Nothobranchius furzeri: one gene and its partners. The protein of the gene in region 4 purifies or fractionates together with the protein of the main gene of each other region. This does not show direct contact. Links are inferred from orthologs where the notes say so. Each region holds a gene or a part of one and is shown on either strand. Other genes may lie near its edges. The genes, in order: sntb2, sntb1, utrn, adra1d and dtna.

Region 1 (4,192 bases), on a different chromosome or scaffold from region 4:
GAATCTTCCTCTCATCATCAACCATCTAAAATCTCACTCTTCATTGTAGCACCTACCTGCACCTCAGCAGGTCTGGTGCTCCCTGTCTCACCCTCAGCAGGTATGGCTCTCCCTGTCTCACCCTCAGCAGGTATGGCTCTCCCTGTCTCACCCTCAGCAGGTATGGCTCTCCCTGTCTCACCCTCAGCAGGTCTGGTGCTCCCTGTCTCACCCTCAGCAGGTATGACTCTCCCTGTCTCACCCTCAGCAGGTATGGCTCTCCCTGTCTCACCCTCAGCAGGTATGGCTCTCCCCGTCTCACCCTCAGCAGGACTGGCGCTGCCTGTCTCACCCTCAGCAGGTATGGCTCTGCCTGTCTCACCCTCAGCAGGTCTGGCACTGCCTGTCTCACCTTCTTCATCATTTTGCTGCTGAACTTCCTCTGGTCTCTCATATGAAAAAAGTGACATGAATAAGGTTTAAAAATAAAATGTGATGAGAATGTCACAAACAAGCAACAATCACATTTACAAACTCCATTTTTATGTGGAGATTCTACTTTATTTATTTCGTGTCAAATGGTTTTTGTCTGTTACTGTAAAATCGTGTTAAATTCGCCATTTTTTGTTGACTAGTAGTGTTGTTTAACGTTTAATGCTGCCTAGCAAGATGTTTACGTTAGTCAGCCAGTCTAACGTTTGACCAGAAATACAATTATCCTCTTGGACTAAATTATTACCGAGTCACAATTCCTTTCTTTCTCTTATTGCCCATGAGAAGAAGCTGTTGTCGTCCAGGTCCCGCTCCTGTCTAACTCCCTGAGGGGAGGGGCTGTGTCAGTGAGAAGTCTGCAGCGTCTTTCAAAATAAAAGCTCACGAGTCAAATATTTCAAAATCAATTTTTTTCTTCTCCGTGTTATTGGGGGGGACAAATGCGCGTTTGTCCAATATTGGAGGGGACACGTCCCCCCCACCCCCCACCCCCGGTTCCTACGCCCTTGATGCATTCCGTATATTAGTAATTGCGTTTATAAACCATTAGCAAAACAATTTATTCTAAATAAAATATTCTTGCTCATATTACACCTATTACACACAGGACCACAAATCATGATAACACACACACACACACACACACACACACACACACACACACACACACACACACACACACACACACACACACACACACATCGAGAGTGTAATATGGGCTACATTGTTTTATTTTGAAAGGCCTAAACGGATGTGTCTTTGTTGTAGCTATGCTAGCTTTCCGGTGAGGTTGGACAGCTTTACGGAATCGGATTGAACTCCTCAGCAAGACCTCCGAGGCTGCCCCGTAGCAGCCGCTTCTCCTCCTCCCCCTGTTTTGTGGGAGTCCCGTGTTTCTCCCCCCTCTCTCCCTCTCCTCGGCGGGAGTGGGTGTGTCGATGCGAGCCAGTGCTGCCGCTTGTGCGCACTCACAAAAAAAGAGAGGAAAAAGTTGACGATGAGTTTAGAGTAGCGGCGGCCCGCCTCGGAGCAGGCTAACGACAGTCCAGGAATGGCAATTTGGACCAGAGCGGATAAAAATGGTCAGCTGGACCTTCTGCTTCGGGACCGCTGGATCCGAGTGGCTGCAGAACTCACACGGGAGACGCTGACTCTAACAGCCGAATCGGAGGTGACCGGACAGGCGGGCAACCACTGGGACTGCTCTTCGGCTGGCCTGCGAAATGGCATGTCGAACGGAAATGATCCGGGAACGAGTGTGGGGATCCCTGGCCGCCGTTCGTCCTCAGGTCAAGACCAGCTTCAGAACCACGGGGTGCGAGGGCGCAGTAGCAGCCCGGGTCGAGGAGGCGTCAACCGCGGCCAGTACAGCCCTGGAAAGTACCCGATTAACGGCACAAACTCTGACTTCGGAAGCCCCGGCTCTAGTTACGGTAGTCCAGGGTCAAGCTTTGGGTCGAGACAAGGCGATTTCCCGGTCAGCCTGGACGGGTCCTCCGAAGCTGTGCGTAAAGTCCGAGTAGTTAAACAAGAGTCTGGCGGGCTGGGGATCAGTATCAAAGGGGGGCGCGAGAACCGGATGCCCATCCTCATCTCCAAGATCTTCCCTGGACTCGCTGCAGACCAGAGCCGGGCTCTCCGGGTGGGCGACGCAATCCTGTCGGTGAACGGGACCGAGCTCCGGGAGGCAACGCATGACATGGCGGTCCAGGCGCTCAAGAAGGCGGGGAAAGAGGTGACGCTGGAGGGTGAGTTGGCCAACGCGAGAGCGCGGTTTTGAAAAGGCCTCCAGAGGTCCGACTGCACACCTATCCCTGTCACATCCATGCGCTGGCATCAGTGTCACTTCAGTTACTCTTTAAACACTAAAGGTATGCCTCAAATAACAATTCAGCTACAAACTATAATAAAATATTCCAAACTCAACAAGTTACCAGTGTGACGTAAGTCAGCTGATCCTTCATGAATAGCTGTCACACACGTTCATCTCGTTTGCAGCTTCCCAAAGCCAGGCGTGTTTGCTTTACACGTTAGAATTCAGACCCAAACAAACACGGTCTGTGTTGATCTATGAGCAGCAGAAGTGAGCTTAAATCAAATCAAATCAACACAAAGCCTTTGGTTGGTGTAAACACGAGTGCAACCAGAGTTGTGGTCAGGACCAGATACATTTCACTCTGGATGTTTGAACGACGGGCTTGTTGGAGATAAGAGGCCGCAGCAAACGTGACCAGATGAGATTTGTTTTTGTGTAAATGCACCAAAAAGCCCATAAAATAATAAAGGGCTTCTCTGTTTTTACGTTTTATCTTTGACATCAATGATTGTAATCTCATTTCTGATTGGCTGTGGATGATTCTATTTATGGCCAAATACATTTTAAACTCGCAAAGAAAATATAATCTGGCTTACCGAATGATATTCATCAGGTAAATACACAAATAACTAATGGAAAGTTGGGGGTTTTCTGGAGATATTCTGAGAAATAAAGATGTGTTTAATAGAAATGGACATTAGTCAAACTTCCATCCGTGTGCATTTTGAAAGTGCACATAACATTTTAGGTAAATGCTCGTCACGTGTGCAAAAAAAAAGTTGCTGAACGTGTCCTTATTCTGATTTAGTTTCATTAAAGCGGGTTTGTTTCGCTTTAGTAAAAACTACAACTGCTACTTTGTTGAATCCAGTCCTTCATCTTGGCCTTCTGGCATGAAGCAAGCAGTCTTGTTGATTTGCTTAAAATGAAAGTTCCCTAAATTACACTTTATTTTAACTCATTCGCTGCCAGCGTTTCTCACCGTTTTTACTGTTTTTTTAAGAGTGACAGAACGTTGCGCGCTAGGATGATGTCGACGCCAAAACAACCAAAACAAAGCAGAGACTCACCTCTTACATCAGGAAGAATCCGCGCGTTTCGAGCGTTTTCCGTTCTTTCGTAATCCGTTGTTGAATTGTGATCGGCAGAAGCTTTTCCGGTTCGCGCCTCACTTTTTTTACAGCAGCGTAGGGTTGTCACGATACTAAAATTTCAAACTCGATTCGATACTGGAAAAAAAACTCGATACTCGATTTTGATACTATTTAAAAACACCAATTTATTGAACACGTTTATTCAAAAAATAACATTCCTCAATTTATATTGCAAAAATTAAATGTTAAGAATTAAGTGTGTAAAGTGCTTAAACCTTTCAAGTATCAGCATTTTTTAAAACGTGCATACAAAAACACTTTAAATCATGAATTGTCTCACTATATAGACACTATTTGCAGAGTGATGTTTTGCTGCTTAAACTCTGTTTAAGGTGCATTTTTGTTATAAGATGTAATGCCATATGTTTTGTTCTGTACTTTTGAACAACTCTGTTGGTCAATAAAGGGAGAAAACGAATTTCTCCACAGTAGGACAAAGGTACATCTACCGGTAATCTTAATAAAAACAGATTGGCGAGCGGCAGTGACGTCATTAAAAGCGCCGGTTAGATTAGCCGCAGCTAGTCTGTTCACGCCTAGAAATCCCAGACCAGACCCGCTCCAAACGAACAGGGGAATCACGTTAATGATTCCTAACAAAACCTTTCGACATGAAGATGTCTTGGTGCAGATAATGTCTTATTTCGAGGCTGCACATGGGTGCCCATCCGCACCCGTTATATGGATATACGCTGACGGCGATTCGGCGATGGATCTAAATACCCCGGGGAATCCAAGCAGCACCAAAGTT
Region 2 (4,241 bases), on a different chromosome or scaffold from region 4:
ACAGTCATCAAAAATGTTAAACGAGTTCATTCATGTTTGTTTCATGCCATGGTGGATTCCCCATTAGTTGTTTTGGCTGAAATATGAGGAACTTCCTGCTGTACTTGACTCCCAGATGCACCAGAAGTGCTGCATGCAGCTGCTGTTCACACTTGTAATAACATCCATGTAAATACCAATGGGATGCATGTCAGTGCTTTAATGTTTATAATATAATGTTGCATGAACCCATGTGGAAATACAGAGATGTTTGTTTAAACATTGTATTAATACACTTTTTTGTTCATAAGAACTGCGTGGTGGCGCAGTTGTTAGCATTGTTGCCTCGTAGCAAGAAGGTTGCAGGTTCGAAACTCGGCTGTGGCCTTTCTGCGTGGAGTTGCGTGTTCTCCCCATGCATGCGTGGGTTTCCTCCGGGTACTCCGTTTTCCCCCACGGATCACAACATGCCCTGTAAGTTATAAATTGTGTGTCGCTTTGGATGAAAGCGTCTGCCAAATAAATAAACATAAACCGCCCAGCCAAATAAAAAAGTCACCACCCAAAAAGAAAAATGGCCTGTATTTGATATAGCGCCTTCTAGAGTCCTAGAACCCCCCAAGGCACTTTACAACATAATCAGTCATTCTTTCATTGAATCCCACATTCACACGCTGCTGGGGATGAGCTACAATGTAGCCACAGCTGCCCTGGCGTGCAATGACAGATTACGACACGCATTCGCTGTGGCGCTGTTTCGATAAGCTTCTGCAACATCACCAGTTGTTTTGATCCAGGGTTGAACTAATGTCTCACCAACATCTTGCACTGATGATGGTAGTCTGACTGCTGCACAAAGCCTTCTGCAGCACATCCCAAAAATTCTCAATGGGGTTAAGGTCTGGACTCTGTGGTGGCCGATCCATGTGTGAAAATGACGTCTCATGCTCCCTGAACCGCTCTTGAGCCCGATGAATCCTGGCATTGTCGTCTTGGAATATGCCCGTGCCATCAGGGAAGATGGAATAACCTGGTCATTCCGCATATTCAGGTAGTCAGCTGACTTCGTTCTTGGAGCACATCCTGTTGCGGAGTCTAGACCTGACCACCTGCAGCAAGCCCAGATCATAGCACTGCCCCCGCAGGCTTGTAGAGTAGGCACTAGGCATGATGGGTGCATCACTTCATCTGCCTCTCTTCTTACCCTGATGCACCATCACTCTGGAACAGGGCCCATCTGGACTCATCAGACCAGTTTTTAATAAAGTGTTGGACAGTTCAGATTGAGTTTTTTTTGCATCTCATTAGATGTCATCTCTGCTTGACGCCAACGACCCGACCCTTCCCACACAGACTAACATCTTTTCCACAACCACCAGTTGTGTCTTTCCACTTGTTTGTTTAACGAATGAGAAGTGACTCATTGCACCATTTGAGGTTAAAACACTTTTTGACATGCAGTAATTAATAATAGGAGGACCCTACCTGTTTGCTTAGTTAAATCCAGGTGGTGACTTGTTTTTGGCCCAGGCAGTGTAGTAGCTCATCAGTTATTTCTCCAAACAGAATGTTCAGGAAGTCACAAGTTATCGAACTCTTTAAGGCAAATGGAAGAACAAGATCCAAGTTGGATCTCAAAAGATTCCTATTATTTATCTAATAAAATCCCACCTGCTATTTTCTGCCAGTAAGTTTTTATCTGCAACAGAAAAAATGTCTGGAACCAAAAGCTGAGCTCTTCTTCAACTTCATTTGAAGAGACAAACGAATTAATCAGCTGCCTTTTATCTACAGGAGAAAACACGGTTCATTTTCAGGCTTTCGATCTTGTCCTGCTGCCTTGTTTTCCTTCATTAAGGTGATTTTTTTTAACCACAGCAATAATCATGAAGGCAAAACAACAAAACCTGGTTTTGCGTCTCCTGAAGTTGCACCAAGCATCCCAACACGCAGAGGCTGAGGTGTCCAGGAGTCCTGCAGCTAATCAGGGACATCTGAATTAAATGATCACAGCAACAATTCTCAGAAATAAATACGCGAAACCCACGCACACCTGTTGGCTTCGGTTTACGAGCGTTTGTATGATATAAAAACAGTTTGGACTTCCGGGGCTCTGGTCACCTTCCCTCTACGTGCATGTGTCCCAACTGCTGCCTACCTTCCAGTGTCACCTCCTTCCCCGCACGTTTCAGCACCTGCACCGCCTCATCGTGCGTGGCGTCCCGCAGGTTCATCCCGTTCACTGACAGGATCGCGTCCCCCACGTACAGAGCCTGGGTCTGGTCCGCTGCGAGCCCCTTGAATATCTTACTGATGAGAATGGGCATCTTGTTCTCCTTCCCTCCTTTAATGCTGATGCCGAGCCCTCCGACTTCCTGCTTGGTCACCTTGACGCAGCGCTTTCTGTTGGCGATCGCCTCGGGCACTCGCTCCGGGAGGTCCGTGAAAGCGGTGCGCACAGCTTGGGGGCCATTGTTGGAGTTGGTGTTGCTGTTATCCAGGTACGATCCGTTGGTGAGCCCGTTTGAGTTGACATTCTCGCCATCCTCGCAGCTCAGCGTCAGCGCCTCCTCGCTCAAGTTTACCAAAACTTTGTGCCAGTGCTCCCGCACCAAAACCTCCACTAATCCACTTCTGTGCGCCCCGGAGCCTCTCGAGACGCCTGCGGCTGCTACCACCGCCATCTTTGGAGCATTTCTGTAAAATCACACGCGTTCTCTCTCACACAAACACACACGCGTTCCGGCTCAAGCTGCATGGACTTTGCTCGTCAGAAGTTTTCTGCGGGACTCGATCAGCCAGCGCAGGCTGGCCCCCGCTCCGCTCCGCCTGCCCGGAGGTCCTAAAGCTGCTGGGTGGAGTTTTCCTCTCCACGCTTACAACCGACCAGCCCATGAACCAAAAAGAAAAAAATGGGCATTTGCATCAGACATAACTTTCTGAGCTATGACGCAAGCACGTGCTAAAGTCATAAAAACAAAACCGTATGCAGCTCTGATAATTTTTCAGAACAGAATGAAACGGTTTCACGCTTTTGTCATTAGCATTAATGTTATTAAATAAAATCAATACACCGTTTCAGTCATGGGGTTCGAGTGTTTTTGTGCGTAATTTGGACAAAATTCAAGGAAATAAAACTGTACCTTCAACATCTTTTGAAAAACTTTGAAATCATAACTAGTTGTCCTGTAGGACTGCGCTTACGTCGTGCTTACGCGCACTCAGGAATGCAATTGAGGGGAGAGAACGCGGTTTAATTTTAGGCTTTCATTTAAAGGCCCACCCTCTGCGGAGTTTCTCCGCATCTCTAATGATTATTTTTTTATTTTTCCAGCTGTTCCCAGCGGTTATGTCAGCCCAAGACCCCGAGGGCGCAGTCCGAGTCTTACTGGTTCTGTAGATCAGAGAGAAAATAAGAGAAACAAATAGAAGCAAATGTAGAAACGACAAACAAACAAGGTGGAGGAAGAGGGGAACGGTTCTCCATCATCTCCAAACAGCAGCTGTCAATTAGGCTAATTAAAACATCTGCAAACTTCCACTGGTACTGATCTAAACCGGCGCGACAGCGACACCTACTGGTGATGTTTGTTTTAACAGTCATCTATCTATCTATCTATCTATCTATCATCTATCTATCTATCTATCTATCTATCTATCTATCTATCTATCTATCTATCTATCTATCTATCTATCTATCTATCTATCTATCTATCTATCTATCTATCTATCTATCTATCATCAGGTGACGTTGAACAGTAAATCAAAAACATTTGATCTTTAAAATAATCTGCTTTTTATGTCCTTACTGGTTTTTCACAGATTAAATTATTTAAATAATGAATACTGAATAAAGCAGCAGATGCAAACCCAGAGCAGAGACCATGACGACAGACCCCACCCGCGCCTTCTCCTTCAGGCAGAGGATTGAGCGGCCTCCAAGACTGTTTTAGGCCCTCAAAGCTGAATGGATAAACTGGCTGTAACGTATAGCTATTTTATTTTTTATCTTTCTTTGAGTGTGTCCTATTCAATAACTTTGAACAACTCCTAATAAAACACAGGAAGTGTTGTTTCACCGTGAGCTACTTACAATTACTGAGTTGTGCAAAAGACATGTTTTGTCTTGATGAGGAGCAGGAGAGTTATTTTTACTTTAATGTGGAAATGAGCTTCATCAGATGAAAGTTTATTCTGTGTTGTGGTAACGACCTTCAAACCAAACCAATTACCGACCTATGAAAGGTGATGTATAATAGAGG
Region 3 (4,070 bases), on a different chromosome or scaffold from region 4:
AGCATTAGAGGAAGCAATAAACCCCAAAAAAGGACAAAGAGGAGAGGACACAGTCCGAGGGTAACAGTGCAAAGCGGGCTGTGATATCCCTCTCTAATCTGCTTTGGTCACTCTATGTCCAGCAAGAGAGGAAAAGATCAGAAGAATGCAGCAGCAGAGGGAGAAGAAGGGAGGGAAAGATGGACACTGTCAGGGAAAAGGGACGAACGGGGCAGGCCAGCAGTGATGAGACAAGAGGACGTGCACAGAGCAACAGTTTGGCCCCGTCTCAACATTTTATGCCATCACCAGAAAAAGGAAAACAAAAGAGAAGAAAGATAAACAATCACAAGCCGTGACGATGGTGGAGATTAACCCTCTGAAATCTCCTCACTGTCTACAGAAAAACTAGAGCATGAATGAGATATAAAATCATAAAGCATTTATGTTGTCAGCTTATTATCACCATAAGAAACCTCATTTAAATTAGGAGGAAATACTATCTTTATTTTTATTGATGCTATTAAGCTCTTGAAGAGCTTGTTTGTTATTATATTACTAAGAAAACGCCATACTGGCCTTTTGGGGTGTCTGTTTAAAGAGATAATGTGTATATTTTTAGGGCCGGGAAAATTAGCTCGTGTTAAAAGTAAAGGACGTAATTAATTTGACCATCTCTCCAACCCTGAACCACCATTCTCCAAAATATTTCCATATTTGCCCCTGGACAATATTGCTAAACCATCATTTACGGGCCCAAAAAAAGTTCAAGTTTCTACCATATTATGGACTCCCAGCATCAAGGATTCTTTTGAGCGGAGAAGATGAACAGAGACAGAGCGCCCATGCGCTCCAGCAGCATCTGCGTCTTGCGCTCGGCCACAGTAACATTCTCAAAGCAAACATTCTCACCAAAATATATTTAACACACGATCGTTCATAACGGCCTTGGTACTTTCTGTCTTTTATTCGGGCCTGACGCGCATCGCTGCTGCGCTCATCACCCGTGCTCCACGGCCGTGGCCAGGCAGCGTTTTTTTCAGGAGAACAAGATCCTGCAACTCCCTGAGGCAGATGCAGGATCAGAGACAGACAGGACAGGATAATAAGAAAACAAAACAAAGAGCACGGAAAAGAAAATGTAGGCAGATTTATCCCACTACAGGTTTTGACGTTATAAAATAAATATTATTTATAAGCTCATAATATTCATATATTCCATAAAATTCAGATCACCTTCAAAACTCCGTCCCACCCAAGGGGGGCCATGCCAGTGAGGTGTCCCTTATTTATTTTGGGGGAGTTGGCAATCCTAGTTCAACTGATGCTGTGGAAAATGATATTAACATTGAATAACATAAGCTAACTGTACTAGATTTATTTCCTGTTCATTGTTTACACAACAGACTTTTTCAAACCATGTTTTTGAACAGAAACTGGATTTGATTTAAGGTTTTCTCTGTGATTTTACACACTTCAACAACTTATGCACTTTCTAAATAAAATGAACCTCTCTTGTATATTTTTTGCATGTTTATTGCTTGTTTTTTCTGGAAAAAAAATTATAATTCATTGCGATTCATTTCTTTCAGATTTGTGATTAATTAGTTAATTTATTTTTAATCGAATCCCGGCCTTAGTATTTTTACCTTTAGTCTCTGGAAATATCCAACAAAATGTTGTCTAGTTGAAAAATATTGGCAGCTTTGTACTATATAAACATAAAAACCGGGTCTAAAGTACATAGTGCTAGCATCTTTGGGGATGGCCTTATTAGACTCCATGTTTCCTTCTGGCTGGCTCGGGGTCCTGCGGCTGTCAAAGACTAGATCGGTGTTTCCCTACCCAGGTCCTCAGGGCACAATGTCCTGCATGTTTTCAATGCTGCCATTTTGAACACCAGTGTTTGCCTGCTGCCACACACCTGACTTAAATAATGAGTGATGAACAGACATCTGCAGCACTTGATGTCCTCCTGAAGAGGCAATGTAAATCAGGTGTGCTGAAGCATAGGCATGGAAATCATGCAGGTCAGTGTGCCCTGAGGAACAGGGTTGGGAAACACTACACTAGATGACTGGCTGGACATTTGATTTACAGAAGTTACATTACCACATTCAAAAACATTTAGACAGTAAGAAACATGAATTTAATATTAAAAACTGATGAACTTTTTCCAAAACCTGTGTGAAAGAACAGAATCGATAAAGAGATGCAATACATTTTGGCTGAGTGGTATTGCCGTGGTATGATGATGTCATCGGCAGGCGCAGAACCCCGAGCAGATCCAGAAACTACAGCGCCAGAAACCTAGCATCGGCATTACATTCTCTTTCACTGAATAATACACTGAAGGACCGTCAAGAGATGGAGATATGGTGTAAAACTACCGTGAAATCTATGTATGTACTGCACCCTGGCACCAGGAAACTACACACTGCCACTTTAACCGACTGAGCGCCAATTTTCTTGGTGACAAAAGTGAAACCTGATTCTGATTGATCATTAATACTGGTTTGACTGGCAGGAAAAAGAAGCACAAACAACAAAGATGCTTAGCATTTATCAAAAGACACACACACACACACAGGGACCATAATAACTGCAGGTTTGAAAACGGAGAATGGATCAGACGCCGCTTTTTACTCAACAGAAAACAACCTTACCCAGTTCCAGGCAATATTCATGCTTCCCTTTTTTTCTGAAGAAGTTGTGCTTTCTCCAGGACATCCATCTGCTCAAGTTCATGGTTGAAAATAAGTATTTTTAAATAAAGAAGAGAGAGAGAACACACTACCGCTAAACCGGAACAGGAAGACAAGGTGGTGGGAGAGTGACAGATGCATGAGAAAAAAAAAACACTAAGAGGAAGCAGAGGTATAAGTGGGTTTCTGCTGGGTGATGATGTAACAGCACGCACAAAAGTGATGAACAGAAACAGGATAAGCTTCAATTTGACTTAATTAATACACGTATTTGATTATATCTATATTGTAAAGTCCCTTCCTGAAATGGCAACCCAAAGAGGTGCTAGCGTACTACAATGGTTAAAACGCTTCTTTACGAGCGTTTGCATAAAAGTGAAACCTATAACAATTACATAACCATTGCAAACAGAGCTGAGTTTCTGAATTTAAGTGCATGGCTATGAGCTGCAGCAGTGCAATAGTCCAGTTGTTTATTGATGTATCGAGTCGATGAGGAGCAGCAGAACAAACCGTTTCTGTTCCCACACAGATGGAGAAACAAAGAGGGACAGTAGAGCGAATGGCTGAATGTTTTTGTGTCTTTTCTGTCCCCTATCGGAGAGGAAGAGAGGAATACTGTGATGTCCAGCAGCTGACTAAATCAAAGACACTTTCTACCACTGAGATTTTCAACATCTGGTCTGGTTTCTCTGGGTGAGGCTTGAGTTGGGAGGGGATCAAAGACGGAGCAGGAACTTCCCACGGTGGCGAGTGTGTCAGAAGGCATGCTGCCCTGTCAGTCGCACATCATCTTTTACTAATAAACCAGTGAACATACAAACAAGCATCTCTGTCACACACACACACCCTCAAGCCTAACTCCTACTGCTGACTAACTTTCTAAATAAAAACCACCTGATTGCATCCCGTGTGTGTGTGTGTGTGTGTGTGTGTGTGTGTGTCAGTGTGTTTAAAACACAAGCACAAAGAAGACTGACTACATTTTGCTACTTGTTCGGCACCATGCCTAAAAGTGATGAGGACAAATCTCCTCCACCCATATTCTAGACAGAAAATGTGTTTCTGTGGTGAGGTTAGGCTCCTCTGAGGACAACTCTGATGTTCAGTCAGCTTCCTTTAAATTTATTATTTTCTTATCATTTTTACTGTACAATGTAAACTCAGATTCAGCAGCACAAAGATAAGAACAAGTAACAAACTGTTCCCAAACAAATCCTGTAAAACGTTTTTGTTCTAGTAAATCTGAAGCTCCAGACGGCAGACTGGCAGCAGAGCTATGGAGCCACCATGAGAAGGAACCAAAAGGGTAAAAGGCAAATTAGACAAAGGCTGATTCACAGTTTTTGCAGCCTGAAACGTTTAGAAACGATCTACTGTTTTTCT
Region 4 (3,977 bases):
ACAGATCTGAGATAAAGTTGTTTAAATGTTTTAGTGTATTTGGCACAACTTGTAAAGTAGAATTTTGTCCTGTGGTGACTAACTATAACAATCAAGCGTTGCTTTTCTCATCTCAAGATCTTTACAAATGTTTTATTACTGTGCAATATAAGTAAAACATACATTACTGACTAATACACACATCTTAGCAGCCCACTTAGGGAGAATGAGATTCAGCTGCTGATGGAGGCTAATTAAAAATGCCATTTTTCCTAACATAAACTGAAGTAGTTCTCATTTTGCACAGAAAATGTAAAAGATGTAAGCATGAGAGGAGATATGTGATGTCAGTAACCTTAAATGTTTTAGATTTTCTTTTTTATGAGAGGGATCTCTGTATATTTCGATAATGGAAATTAAGAGTTGATAACATTGGCATATCGGATAGAAGTAAACAAGCCAGTATCGAGCATTCCTAAAAGAACCAAGTAATGCAGTTAGAAGAAATACACAGAATGAACATATAAAAGATGTTTAAAGAGCATCCTTAAAAAATACTTGTTTATTTTTAGTAATGTACAAAATACAAAGCAAGTGACCCTAAACATATAGCCACAGTCATTAAGAACTATCTTCAGAATCAAGAAGAACAAGACGTCCCGGAAGTGTTGGTCTGGCCCCCACAGAGCCCTGATCTCAACATCATGGAGTGTTTCTAGGACTGCATGAAGAAACTGAAGGATGTGAGGATGCCTACATCCACTGAAGATCTGTGATTAGTCCCCCAAGGTGTATGGAACAACCTACCAGCCCAGTTCCTTCAAAAACTGTGAATGAGGCTTTTTCCGGTGCCACACCTCAACCTGCGTCGGGAGAAGCGATTCGGTCTGGACTCATTTTTCATTTCATTTCATTTCAAGGATTTGTTTTCTCCCTACTTTCCCTCTACTTTTTGGTCCCTGCTTCTCTGTGGTTCCAAGGGCCGAGTCGGGCCTTGGAACCGTTTGCCGTTGATTGCTGGGGGCGGTTTCACTGGTTGTTCTGTAGCTTTATTTCCTGGTTCAGAGTCAACCATAAAGCTGAGCAGAATGTTCACCATCACCACCATTTTTTTGTGTGTTGATTTGGGTTTCTGTGTAGCATAAAGATCACCTCACACTTACTGATTACTTTTGTCTCAAGTAAAGTTTGTGCCCTGCGGTGGGCTCACAATGTCAAAATGAACAATGATTTGATTATTCAATTTGATTTCATTCTACATCAACACGAATGTGTTGGTTGTCTATAGTAAATATAGTAAATGGCCTGTTTTTGACATAGTGCTTTCTAGAGTCCTGGAACCCCCCAAGGCACTTTACAACACAATCAGTCGTTCACCCATTCACACACAAATTCACACCCTGGTGGTGATGAGCTGCATTGTAGGCACAGCTGCCCTGGGGCTCACTGACAGAGGCAAGCGAGGTCCCTCCACAATCACCAGCAGGCAATTGATAATTAAATTTACAACAATGCGCTTGAATGATTCTAAATATAAATATTGAACAGCATATGTTGATTCTAAGCACATATGCGTTCTTTTATATACCTCTTAGACTTTAGTCAAAACGTTTAGATTTTAATTAGAACCTTTACTTTCACAATCGGCGCCCCATAGATGGTCGCAAAGATTTCCATTTTATGGAAAAACCCGTGAAACTATGAACATACCTAATGGCAAGAAGAAGAAGAAGGGCAGCCAGCAGAGGATGAACATCCCCACCACGATGGCGAGAGTTTTAGCAGCCTTTTTCTCCCGGGAGAACTTCATGAGCCGCACTGAGAGCGAACTTCGGAATGGGTGGTTTTTGCTGCTCTTGGAGCTGGCCGGACGCGCGTCCTCCAGCACGCTGCGGCAGTGAATCCGGAGCACAACTTCCACAGACTTAGTCCTCTCCCGTTTGACGCCCGCTTCCAGGCTCTTCGTGGTCCTGCGGGCCACCACGTACACCCGAAAGTACATGATGAGGATAACCATGAGCGGGAGGTAAAAGGAGAAGAGCGAGGAGAAGAGCGCGTATCCGGGCTCCTCTGTGATCCTGCAGATGCTCTCGTCCACAGGCGGGGGTTCCTTCCATCCCAGCAGCGGTCCCACAGAGATCACCACGGATGAGACCCACACCAGCACCAGAATAGCCACTGCCCTTCTCTCTGTCATGATGCTCGGGTACTTGAGGCAGTATTTCACCCCGATGTAGCGGTCGATGGAGATGATGCAGAGGCTGAGGATGGAGGCGGTGCAGCAGAGCACGTCCACAGCTGCCCAGATGTTGCAGAACACCCTGCCGAACACCCAGCAGCCCAGCACCTCTAAAGACGCGGAAAAGGGCAGCACGATGATGCTCAGCAGCAGGTCCGCCATGGCCAGGTTAATGATGAAGAAGTTGGTGATGTTCTGCAGTTGCTTGTTGCACACCACGGACAGGATGACCAAAATATTCCCAACGATCGCCACCAGGATGAAAGCAGAGAGGAAGATCCCGACGCCGACAGCCTGCGAGTCCACGGTGAAGTTCTGACATGTGATGTTGTCACGTTGAAACAAGCGGTCCAGAACAGAGTCGTTGAACGCTTCAGGAGACAGCCCATAGTTGCTTTCATTCCTCAAATTAGAGTCTGTCATTTTGCGCCATAAAGAGAACTTTAGAGGAAGTTTTATTCGCAGGAAAACTGGCTGATGGGCGCTGCGCTCTGCCTCGCTCCGCGTTGGTCTCAGAAACGCAACCTGGCGGCTTTCATCAGAATAAACAGCTAACAAAACATAAAAGAATTCAACTCAAAACAAATAATAACAAAAACATCCACCCGCACGCGCCTTCAGATCCGTCCTTTTCCTGTAAATTTGTTTTAAATCCTGGCTTAGTGGATTAATGAACAGCCCCAACCGGAAGCGCATTTAGGTCCATTATAGCGCGTTTTTCTTCTGCATGGTGACATCCTTTGGAACAACTCTGATCACAGCCAGAGCTGCTACAGCAGGTCTGAACCTCCAGCTCCACCCACATTCATGTGGCGCTTGTTGCGTTCGCAGCCTCCCAAACAACAGGAGCTTCATATGGCCAGTCATTTTTTTATGCTCTGCCTTTTTTCTGAGGTATATTTGAATAGTATTTATCATACATTCATTGCAAATATCACAAAAAGACAAAGAAGGGCAAACAATGAATCTGGGCTCCATCCTTGAAATCTCAGGAGACAGAATCACTCATATCCTCCAACCTACCCAACAAGTCTGCTCTGACATCCAGGGATATAGCTGGAGTGCCCAGACGCAGATGTGGCTGCCATCTCCAGGTTTTGTGTGCTCTAAGGACGGGCCTGTCCGTCCCCCCACCCCCACCCCCACCCCCCCCCCCCCCCCGCTTACGTGATGGACAATTCATCACGCTACACCTTCATTCCCTTTTACAGTCTCCCCAGTCCCCGGTCCTTATTCTGTGTTTTCCCCTTTCAAAGATTTTGACTTTTTGGATTCACGTGTTTTGTTTATTTCTCCCAGCCTTTTAGTTTCAGTTGGCATGTTTTTGTTTTATTGTGTTCTATTCTGTTTTCCCCAGTTAAGTCTTAATTTTTACTTTAGCTTCTATTAGGTTTGTCAGTTTATCAATATTTATCTCTCGATTTCTCCTGGATTCCCTGCATTAGTTTCACTTGCATCTTTAGTTGCTTAGTTTCTCGATTATTTTCTATTTTCTGTTTTATTAGTTCACTTCATTAATTATTATTTTTGGGCTTCAGTTCTCAGAGCATTTATCCTCGTTTAGCTTCCCTGTTTAGTTTATTTCTTTCAGCCTTTAGTTTAGTATCATTCTGTTCTAGTTGTTGTTTTATCGTTTTGTGTTGTTATTTACATCTTGTGTTGTGTTTTGCCTCCTATTTCTCAGTTAATTAGTCACACCTGTTGGCCCTTTTCATTTGCAATCATCTCACCTGTTTCCATTGTCTTTGTTTGCACTTCC
Region 5 (3,513 bases), on a different chromosome or scaffold from region 4:
ACAGACGGTGAGCTTTGCTGCGTCTGACTGATGCAGAGTTCGTTTTTATATCTGCAGTGAGACAAAAAACTAACCTCACTTCACTCAGAGATTGTTCTTTAAAACTATTAAATCCACTGTGTTGACGCACTTTAATGACTTTGTCACGCTGCATTTTAGCTGATATGGGACTTTATTTACTGGATGCTAAGATTACATCACACTCACGTAAAATAACACACAGGCTCTCTGCTGCTACAATCAGTGGATGTACATCTGGTGTAAAAGAAGGCGTTGATCAGAAATCATGTTTTATTCCACGAAAATCAGCCAAATCCACATTAATCTGGGTGCTAACTTTACTAGCATACTGTGCTAGCGATAGCAAGCCGGATGCTAACGCTTTAGTGCTGCTAATGCCCGTAAACCTAAAGTAAAGTTTGTCGACATTTTAGAGTTATATGAAGCTTACCGCTCTGCTGCTGTGTCCCGGTGCTGTCACATTCAGATGGAAATGACTCCTTTTAGATAGATGAAGCCCTCGGTACTTACTAGCCAGGAGACACGAACGAACCACGCGCGCGCGCGCACACACACACACACACACACACACTACTTTTTCTTTTGTTTTTTTTAGCAGTAGTGTCATCAGCTCCTGGGTTTAAATACTGCCACACCACCATTCCTTAAAACGAGGAACAGTTTTGAGCTGTGTGTGGCTAAAATAACCAGACATTCTGCATTTTTCCAATAGGACTACAAAAAATCTTAGCGAGATGAAAAAATGGCGGATTGGCTCTGTGTTTAGCCGAGGGCCATTACCATATTTGGTAGTTATCCTGACGAAATAAATTACTGATTTAATAGATAATTTGAAAAACTAAACGGGTGGACAAATATGCCCAAAACTTAATTATTAAATATCTAAATAGCAACTCCAGTGAATAATATAAGCCTTTTTGCTCACTTAGACACTTACAATGTGAAACACACTGTGTTAACGGATAAAAAAGTGGGTTTTTCATGTTATGTCTCCTTTAAACATCAATCATTCATTCTAAAATGAACTACTTTCATTTGAAATGACATATTTTCAGAAAAGGCACTTGAGCCTTTTCTCCACCAGTGATGTAATACACTTTGCCCAACTTTGCATCGATGCAGATTTGGGTGAAGTGTGGATCAAGGGTGAAAAAAGGAGTGATCAACTTCCGCACTTGAGAATCGGGACAACCAACGCCAGGGCTGTTTCATTCTGGGCCTCGAGGGCCAGCTTACAGCACGTTTCAGTGGTTTGTCTAGTCCAACACACTAGATTCAGTGGTTGAATCACCTGTGTAGCAGTTCATCAGGCTCAGCAGAAGCCTTTTATTCACCTGCTGATTAAAATCAGGTGTGTTGAAGCAGAGTTAAGACCAAAGTGTGCTGGATACTGGCCCTCCAAGCCCGGAACTGAATAGCTCCACCCTACGCACTTGCACCGCTAGCCTGGATAGTGCAACTGAAGGGTGCAAGTGTGGCAGTGCAAGTATCTGGATTGGGCCATTGTCGCTCTAATTAGGGATGATAATATCGATATTATTGGCCGATATTAGCAATAAAATGTGATATCGGAAATAACCTGTCAGTTTTTACTCTTTACCATGCACATATTGTACATCAAACTCCAGCTAATTCTCCTCTCACTCAAAATATCAAAATATGACAGACCCAATGTTTAGTTTTTGAGATATATTTTTGTTTGCTTGGCAAAACTGGTCTAACCTAAATTGAAGTATTGTTGTTTTGCACGGATAATCTTTAAAGTTTAAGTCTGCATGATAGGAGTTGTGAGATGTCATAGTAACCTAAAATAAATTAGTTTTTCTTTTTCTTTTTATGAAGTGGGATCCTGCATATACTGGTATATAGATTTATATCAGTCAAAGACAACTTTCAACAATGCTAACATTAAAAATGCATGAATTTTACACCTGGAAACAGCAGCAAACAGCCTCCTGCAATGCCACAAAATTGAAGTGCATGGCTTCTCTCCATCTGCCATGTGTTTCCAGCTTAGCTTACATTCACTGAGCTGTGTGTGTGTGTGTGTGTGTGTGTGTGTGTGTGCGCGTGGGGGTGTGGGGGTGGGGGGGGGGGGGGGGGGTGAGTCATGCAGGTGCATCCATCTATTTTGGAACAAGGAAAGCTCAAGATCTTCCTTCAGCTAAACCACAAAACACCTTCAAGTAAAAACAACCTGAGCGAGTTGCATCTGATCTGAGTCTAAATAAGTTTTATCTGACCTAATGACATTTATAAGCTGTTTCAAAGTATCCAGCTCAAGATAAATTTTTGTTTTTGCTTTGAATAGCTGTTGATAGGGTCCTATATTCAAGTTTAGCCCTTGAAAGAATTGATTATGATCTCCCTGCATCAAACTGCGAGGTGACTACTAAAAGCATTGATAATTGAGGCACAGCAGCCCTAAAACAATAAGGTGATATGTCTTCCAGTTGTTATTAAAAAAACTGACACTGAAATAAAATCCTGTCAGCTTTGTTTCAGAGATGATTTAGAATGAGCAAAATAACCGTTAGCAGGAAGAAACGGGCATACTTTTTAGGTTGAACCAAATGAGCCATTAGAAGCGTCAGAGTTGGTATTAAAAAAAAAACCTAAAGAAATTATGGAAAGGTTGCAAAATGGCAACCAGAGCCTTCAGATCTCAAAAAGCAAAGAATTTAAGAAATTTAGGAATTTAGATTGTGAAGGCCTTAATTGCATTTTTTCATTGCGTAACACAAAACAGCTAAAAAACCTAGCTAAAAACGGGTGGTGCACAGTTGCAAATCAGATAATTCCCAAGGCTGTAATTAAACCTATTGATCAGCTGACCTGAGTGATTGACCGGAATCATTTCAGGCTGTGAGTTAGCAGTGGGGAGGTAGGAACAAGAAGTATTTACACAATATGAGCGAGGTTGAGAGGTTTCTCTGGCGTTTCTGGAAACATAGGGTGAAGGGGCTCTCTGCTGGATGCACAGCTCAGTGACTTGCTGAGGACATGAGATAACTTCTTCGCGGGAGATTTCTAGGAGAAGCACAGAGGCCAAATGGTTGTCAAAACAAAAGGACATCAATACAATGACCCCCCCCCCCCCACACACACACACACACAGCAGCATTCTTACATGCAGATTAAAAATAGCCTCAGTGACTGATGTCATGCAGACACGCCTCCATATAACTCCCCCTCTTCCTATTTCCTTTCCTTACCCATGACGTATACTCCTTCATTTGGTGCTGGTTGCTATGGGAACCGCTGGCATGCCCCCTCCAGAAGCAGTCCTGACAGAGCTGGTAATTGTGACATTGCTGGCAGCGGTAGCGGAAGCCCATCATACTCTCAGTGTGGCAGTAGGAGCACTCGACCGGGTGAAACACTGCAGGGGGGTACAGTTGTGCACACACACACACACACAGACACACACACACACACACACACAGACACACACACACAGACACACACACACACACACACACACACACACAC

The links.
Region 1: the proteins of adra1d (region 4) and sntb2 purify together in Homo sapiens (tandem affinity purification; 4 studies listed by BioGRID and IntAct, with this or other methods). This does not show direct contact. The link is inferred for Nothobranchius furzeri from reciprocal best matches to the Homo sapiens genes ADRA1D and SNTB2.
Region 2: the proteins of adra1d (region 4) and sntb1 purify together in Homo sapiens (tandem affinity purification; 4 studies listed by BioGRID and IntAct, with this or other methods). This does not show direct contact. The link is inferred for Nothobranchius furzeri from reciprocal best matches to the Homo sapiens genes ADRA1D and SNTB1.
Region 3: the proteins of adra1d (region 4) and utrn purify together in Homo sapiens (tandem affinity purification; 4 studies listed by BioGRID and IntAct, with this or other methods). This does not show direct contact. The link is inferred for Nothobranchius furzeri from reciprocal best matches to the Homo sapiens genes ADRA1D and UTRN.
Region 5: the proteins of adra1d (region 4) and dtna purify together in Homo sapiens (tandem affinity purification; 4 studies listed by BioGRID and IntAct, with this or other methods). This does not show direct contact. The link is inferred for Nothobranchius furzeri from reciprocal best matches to the Homo sapiens genes ADRA1D and DTNA.

The regions. Positions count from the first base shown.
Region 1 is NC_091744.1:86,309,847-86,314,038, forward strand, and holds the start of sntb2 (beta-2-syntrophin), read left to right. Parts: upstream 1-1,379; 5' UTR 1,380-1,522; coding exon 1,523-2,219; intron 2,220-4,192. UniProt on the Homo sapiens protein: Adapter protein that binds to and probably organizes the subcellular localization of a variety of membrane proteins. May link various receptors to the actin cytoskeleton and the dystrophin glycoprotein complex.
Region 2 is NC_091745.1:41,784,293-41,788,533, forward strand, and holds the start of sntb1 (beta-1-syntrophin), read right to left. Parts: upstream 2,809-4,241; 5' UTR 2,664-2,808; coding exon 2,138-2,663; intron 1-2,137. UniProt on the Homo sapiens protein: Adapter protein that binds to and probably organizes the subcellular localization of a variety of membrane proteins. May link various receptors to the actin cytoskeleton and the dystrophin glycoprotein complex.
Region 3 is NC_091742.1:4,205,762-4,209,831, forward strand, and holds the start of utrn (utrophin), read right to left. Parts: upstream 2,805-4,070; 5' UTR 2,728-2,804; coding exon 2,646-2,727; intron 226-2,645; exon of another isoform or gene 1-225.
Region 4 is NC_091746.1:78,324,882-78,328,858, forward strand, and holds the start of adra1d (alpha-1A adrenergic receptor), read right to left. Parts: upstream 2,812-3,977; 5' UTR 2,642-2,811; coding exon 1,690-2,641; intron 1-1,689. UniProt on the Homo sapiens protein: This alpha-adrenergic receptor mediates its effect through the influx of extracellular calcium.
Region 5 is NC_091751.1:50,726,454-50,729,966, forward strand, and holds part of dtna (dystrobrevin alpha), read right to left. Parts: intron 3,404-3,513; coding exon 3,237-3,403; intron 3,052-3,236; coding exon 2,927-3,051; intron 1-2,926. UniProt on the Homo sapiens protein: May be involved in the formation and stability of synapses as well as being involved in the clustering of nicotinic acetylcholine receptors.